2 linked regions of the Callithrix jacchus genome follow. The protein of the gene in region 1 binds, or shares a complex with, the protein of each later gene. Links are inferred from orthologs where the notes say so. Each region holds a gene or a part of one and is shown on either strand. Other genes may lie near its edges. The genes, in order: PDHA1 and PDHB.

What was found.
Region 2: the proteins of PDHA1 (region 1) and PDHB are in contact, whole or in part, in a crystal structure (PDB 3EXE), measured with the Homo sapiens proteins. The link is inferred for Callithrix jacchus from reciprocal best matches to the Homo sapiens genes PDHA1 and PDHB. Residues at the interface, in NP_000275.1 of Homo sapiens: Ile87, Arg88, Gly89, Phe90, Glu137, Leu138, Thr139, Gly140, Gly148, Lys149, Gly150, Gly151, Met153, His154, Asn164, Gly165, Ile166, Val167, Gly197, Ala198, Asn200, Gln201, Gln203, Gly228, Met229, Gly230, Thr231, Arg235, Ala236, Asp296; in NP_000916.2 of Homo sapiens: Glu59, Gln62, Tyr63, Ala66, Asp84, Pro86, Ile87, Ser88, Glu89, Met111, Phe115, Gln118, Ala152, Gly153, Val154, Ala155, Ala156, Gln157, His158, Pro297, Val323, Arg324, Val325, Thr326, Gly327, Ala328, Asp329, Val330, Met332, Pro333.

Annotation. Positions count from the first base shown.
Region 1 is NC_133524.1:19,824,163-19,827,985, forward strand, and holds part of PDHA1 (pyruvate dehydrogenase E1 component subunit alpha, somatic form, mitochondrial), read left to right. Parts: intron 1-619; coding exon 620-746; intron 747-2,373; coding exon 2,374-2,465; intron 2,466-3,748; coding exon 3,749-3,823. UniProt on the Homo sapiens protein: The pyruvate dehydrogenase complex catalyzes the overall conversion of pyruvate to acetyl-CoA and CO(2), and thereby links the glycolytic pathway to the tricarboxylic cycle.
Region 2 is NC_133516.1:40,220,232-40,222,707, reverse strand, and holds the end of PDHB (pyruvate dehydrogenase E1 component subunit beta, mitochondrial), read left to right. Parts: intron 1-850; coding exon 851-992; intron 993-1,294; coding exon 1,295-1,440; 3' UTR 1,441-1,821; downstream 1,822-2,476. UniProt on the Homo sapiens protein: The pyruvate dehydrogenase complex catalyzes the overall conversion of pyruvate to acetyl-CoA and CO(2), and thereby links the glycolytic pathway to the tricarboxylic cycle.

The sequences.
Region 1 (3,823 bases):
GTAGAACGCCAAAACCCACTATGAAGCTTAGGCTATAAACCATTCATTCACACATAACATTGCCAGTGTATATACCTGTTCTTAGGGTTTTACTGTTGTAAAACCTCTGGCATTGTGATCATCCTGTACTCTATACAATTTGGGGAGAAAGGATTCGTTTGTTTGTTTTTTGTTTCGTGGGTTTAGGTCAAGGGTTATAGAATCAAATGCCTTCAAGGGCCAGCCAGGTAGAATAAATCGGTGAATAAGGCTAGGTGTACATGACAAAGAATGGTGACAGGGACTCGTGCTGAACTGGGGCCGGCATTCCCTACCCAGAGGAACGCCATGACTTGGTTCCAGCCGATTGGCGCCGTGTGGAGGTCATGGGTCATGCTTCCTGTTTTTCACGACTCCAAGAGAAGGCGGAAGTCTGGATTTTCATGTAACATTCCCCAGTGTTTTAATGTTGACATCTGATGTAGAATTTTTCTTTTAAGTCATACAGGAGAAAGGAAGTGGCACATGTATGGTCATTAATGACAATTCTACTAGCCCAAATATTTCACTGCTGTCTAGGAAATGTTTTTCTTCAGAACACGTATTGTATGGCCTCATGGTTTCTCCTTCCTCTAACCAGGAAGCTTGCTGTGTGGGCCTGGAAGCCGGCATAAACCCCACAGACCATCTCATCACAGCCTACCGGGCTCATGGCTTTACCTTCACCCGGGGCCTTTCTGTCCGAGAAATTCTCGCAGAGCTAACAGGTTTGCTGTTGATTTGCAGAAAGGGGATATGAGTAGATGAGGTTTTAAAATATTTTCCATTACAATGCTGACTGTTATGAGTTAATATTTGTTAAAAGTTTTAAGTTTCTTTTTTAATTCGCCTTTGGTGCTCTGTTACTTCCGTTGTGCTCCTGAGTTAAATGACCATTTTTGAAGTCCTCTGGCCCCTCAGGTAAAAGTTTAAAAAAGATTAGTGCTATGAAATCACAGTAGGTTTGGTTATCATTCAAGCATGCCAACAGAAGTTTAGCAATCATAGAAAGTAAGTTGGGTTGAGGCACTCCATGGTATGCGATGTAAATTCTAGAAATTTTCATATTCCCCTTTTTGTTTCGTTTTGGTTTCTTTTTTGAGACTGAGTCTCACTCTGTTGCTCAGGCTGGAGTGCAGTGGTGTGATCTTGGTTCACTGCAACCTCTGCCTCCCTGGTTCAAGTGATTCTCGTGCCTCAGTCTCCCAAGTAGCTGGGACTACAGCTGTATGCCACCACGCCTGGCTAATTTTTATATTTCTGGTAAAGACAGGGTTTCACCATGTTGGCCAGGCTGGTCTTGAACTCCTGACCTCAAGTGATCTACCCGCCTCGCCCCCCCAAAGTGCTGGGATTACAGGTATGAGCCACCGTGCCCCACCTGTTTTATTGTTTTTGAGACAGAGTCTTGCTCTGTCTCCCAGGCTGGAGTGCAGTGGCCTGCTTCGCCTCCCAAAGTGCTAGGATTAAGGCATGAGCCACTGCACCCAGCCCTCCTTGACTCTTTTTGTTTGTTTGTTTGTTTTGGAGACAGTTTTGCTCTTTCACCCAGGCTGGAGTGAAGTGGTGTGATCTCAGCTCACTGCAACCTCCACCCCCTGGGTTCAAGCGATTCTCCTCCCTCAGCCTCCCAAGTAGCTGGGATTATAGGTGCCCACCACCACACCTGGCTAATTTTTGTATTTTTAGTAGAGACCAGGTTTCACTGTGTTGGCCAGGCTGGTCTCAAATTCCCGACCTCAGGTGATCCACCCACTTCAGCCTCCCAAAGTGCTGGGATTATAGGCGTGGGCCCCTGTGCCCAGCCCTCCTTGACTATTTAAGTATGGTTGTCCCTCCATATATCCAGGGGATTGGTTCTAGGACCTTCAAGTATACCAAAATCCTCAAATACTCAAGTCCGGAAGTCAGCCTTCCATGTCTTCAGGTTTGCATCCTGAGAATATTGTATTTTTGATCCACGTGCAGCTAAAAAAAAAAATCTGTGTATAAGTGTACAGATGCAGCTCAAACCCTGTTCAAGGACCGAATATATTTAGTGTACCAGTATAGGAGAGGTCCTAAGATGATTGTAACTGGCCAGAAAAACAAGTCCAGCGCACCATCTGGACTTTTGCTAACATCTAAAGGTAACTCGGTGATTAGAGAGTAGGAAAAGCTGGAAAGGTTGAAGCACATGGAACCAGTGGAAGGACAAGGAGAAACATGTGTTTGGCTGGTGGGACAGGTACTTAGACCACTGAATTGGCCTCTGAGTTCTAATGGTGGAGCCTCAGAGTACATACTTGGGGTGCGGTTGGGTTTGCTTCGTAGATTTGGTTTGTGTTGCACATGTGTATGTTCTGCCATTTCCAGGACGAAAAGGAGGTTGTGCTAAAGGGAAAGGAGGATCGATGCACATGTATGCCAAGAACTTCTACGGGGGTAATGGCATCGTGGGAGCACAGGTAGTCAAGGATGGGGGTTGTGTGCTTCCTTAGATTTGGCCCTGGCTTTTGTCGTCAGAAACTTTCCCAGCCCCAGACAACTTTTCCCTGAAGTAGCACAGCCTTGTGCTGCTCAGTGACGCTTTGGTCAGTGTCACGTATACGATGGTAGTCCATGAGAGTCTAATGGAGCTGAAAACTTCCTGTCACCTAGTGATGTTGTAGTGGCACAGCAGATTACCTTTTCTACGTTTAGGTACACAAATATTTTGCCCGCAGGATTCAGTACAGTCATGCTGTGCAGGGTTGCAGCCTAGGTGTGCAGTAGGCTGTACCATCTAGGTTTGTGCAAGTACAGTAAGGTGTTCACACGACAAAATCGCCTAGTGATGTAATTCTGACTATATCCCTGTTTTTAAGCAATGCATGACTGTATTTTGGGGGCTTGGTTTGCCTTTAAAGATCTAGTGCTTCATAGCCCACCATCTGAGAGAGAAATAGACTTGGATGGTGATTTATAATGTTTCCTTTGAGGTGTTTGCTGTTTTCTAAGTAAGCAGGAGCCTCTAGCAGTGGAGCCATACCTTCCCCTTCTTATTTCTATTTCAGTACATTCATTGGTTTATCTTGTCAACTTCATTATGGAGTCCTTGTTCTCATCAGTTAGTGAATGATGAAGAATTAACAGCACAAAATTATATCCAGACTTTTTTTTATTTTCTAACATACTGAGATTCTATTATTTGTTTTCTGGGTTTTTTTTGTTTTTGTTTTTGTTTTTGTTTTTTAAAAGGAGTCTCGCTCTATCACCAGGCTGGAGTGCAGTGGTGTGATCTTGGCTCACCGCAACCTCCGCCTCCCAGGCTCAAGTGATTCTCCTGCCTCAGCTTCCCAAGTAGCTGAGATTACAGGCATGCGCCACCATGCCCAGCTAATTTTTGTATTTTTAGTACAAATGGGGTTTCACCATGTTGGCCAGGATGGTCTCGATCTCTTGACCTCGTGATCCACCCGCCTTGGCCTCCCAAAGTGCTGGGACCGTGCCTGGCCAAGTTTTATATTTTAACTCTTGAATGCAGAAATGTTACTGCTTACTGGTTAAAATAGAACATAGTATTTATGTATTAATTTACTGGTTCTTCGAAAATAATGAGGGTGGGATAAGCAGAGAGATGGATTTGGAAGGAGAGTTTGTAGCAGCAGTGTAATTTCTGTGCCAGATTCTGGCCAGGAGTTAAAATTCAGGGCATTTATATCCCCTCATGGATTTTTGTGGTTCCTTTCTCGGTTGTCCTTCATGTTAGGTGCCCCTGGGTGCTGGGATTGCTCTAGCCTGTAAGTATAATGGAAAAGATGAGGTCTGCCTGACTTTATATGGT
Region 2 (2,476 bases), on another chromosome or scaffold:
TTGGAAGCTCTCCGAACCTCTCCTGCTTCTCAGTGATACACACCCCAAGAGAGAGAGAGAGACAGGGTTTTGTTTTGTTGCCCAGGCTGGAGTGTAGCAGCTGGATCATGGCTCACTGTAACCCTGAACTCCTGGGCTCAAGTGGTGCTCCCACCTCACCCTTCTGAGGTTCTGGAACTTTTATACTTGGGCAAGTTATATACTCTAAATCTGTTTCATCAGAAGAAACACTGTAGTAGAAATACTGTCCTGTCATAGGGCAGTTGTGAGAATTATACTTAGTGTAGTGGTTGGTACATAATAGGCACTCAGATGTTAACTGTTACTCATTTTGATGAAGGAATTTAAAGTGAAGGAGGATTGGCTGGGTGTGGTGGATCACCTGAGGTGAGGAGTTTGACCAACTTGGCCAACATGGTGAAACCCCATCTTTACTAAAAACACAAAAATTAGCCAGATGTGGTGGTATATGCCTGTAATCCCAGCTATTCGGGAGGCTGAGGCAAGAGAATGGCTTGAACCCGGAAGGTGGAGGTGGCAGTGAGCCAAGATAACGCCACTGCACTCCAGCCTGGGCAAAAAGAGCAAAACTCTGTCTCAAAAAAATAAAGTGAAGGAGGATAAATGAATCCTATAACTGCACAGAGCTGCTTGTAGTAGACATACAAATCTTCGTTTTAATTAAAATTCTTCCTTTTACAGTTTATACATTCATGTACCTATTCACAGGCAGATTAGATTTTCCTAGATCCAAAGATTAACAGGAAACAAAAAAGGAAATGGTATTATGGGGATAAGGTTCTATTTGTGCTGCGGTCACTCTGTAAAGTTGATTATATTACCTGTTTAGGTGATAAATATGCGTACCATCAGACCAATGGACATGGAAACCATAGAAGCCAGTGTCATGAAGACAAATCACCTTGTAACTGTGGAAGGAGGCTGGCCACAGTTTGGAGTAGGAGCTGAAATCTGTGCCAGGATCATGGAAGGTATTTCAAAGAAACTGGTTCTAGAATAGTCAAGCACAGTAAACATCGTGTACCTGAATACATGATACATGTATGTACAGGATACAGAGATTGAAAGCTAGGGGTGGCCAAATGACTTGAACTTTGAACTTGCAAGTTTGGCATTTCTCCTCAGGTAAATACTTTAAAAGCAAATCCAGAAAGCAGTTCCCCATAATTAGGATTCCTTATGTTTTCTCTTCCTGATCAGCCACACCTCTGTGCCAACGTGGTAGTGCCCAGCTGGCATTTACTCTCTCTCAGTTGAGCCTTCCTTCTTCTAGGTCCTGCATTCAATTTCCTGGATGCTCCTGCTGTTCGTGTCACTGGTGCTGATGTCCCTATGCCTTATGCAAAGATTCTGGAAGACAACTCTATACCTCAGGTCAAAGACATCATATTTGCAATAAAGAAAACATTAAATATTTAGTTTGGACTTGAATATCAAGTCGTTGAAGTTTATTTGAAATACTTGCTGGCATTGCACCTGGATTCAAGACTTTACTACTCATGAAGAAAAACAATCTCTAAAGCAACAGCAGGTGTTTTTGTACAGGGAGGTTTAAATGTGTTTGTGTATGGAAAACTCTCCACTCTCCTGGCCTAGAGGCCATGCTTCCTTTTGTCTGTTACAGTTGCCATGTTCTTTGAATAAAATTGTATGACGTTTTACTCTCTCTCACTCTAAGGACAAAGTATGGATGTGGCAGAGTCCGGATGAAAGATATATCCATATGTATAAAATTAAAGCATATAATCTACTTTACTGTTAGTTTGTTTTGATAAGGAATAAAGGAATTCCTAACTATGACTAATTGTTTGTTTTTGAGACAGGGTCTGGAGTCAGTGATGCAATCTTGGCTCACTGCAACCTCCACCTCCCAGGTTTAAGCAATTCTCCTGCCTCAGCCTCAGAAGTGGGAAATTAGCCACCACATCCAGCTAATTTTGGTATTTTTAGTACAGTGGGGTTTCACCATATTGGACAGGCTGGTCTTGAACTCCTGACCTCAGGTAATCCAGCTGCCTCAGCCTCCCAAAGTGCTGAGATACAGGCATGAGCCAGCCATCACGCCATGACTAATTCTATTTTTATACCAAAAGAATTAGCTTGGCCGGGTGTGGTGGCTCAAGCCTATAGTCCTAGCATTTTGGGAGGCTGAGGCGGGTGGATCATGAGGTCAGGAGATGGAGACCATCCTGGCGAACATGGTGAAACCCCGTGTCTAATAAAAATACAAGAAATTAGCAGGGCATGGTAGGATGCGCCTGTAGTCCCAGCTGCTTGGGAGGCTGTGACAGGTGAATCGCTTGAACTTCGGAGGCAAAGCTTGCAGTGAGCTGAGATGACACCACTGTGCTTTAGCCTGGGCGACGGAGCAAGACTCCCATCTTAAAAAAAAAAAAAAAATTGGCTGGTGCGGTGGCTTACATGTATAATCTTAGCACTTTGGGAGGCTGATGCA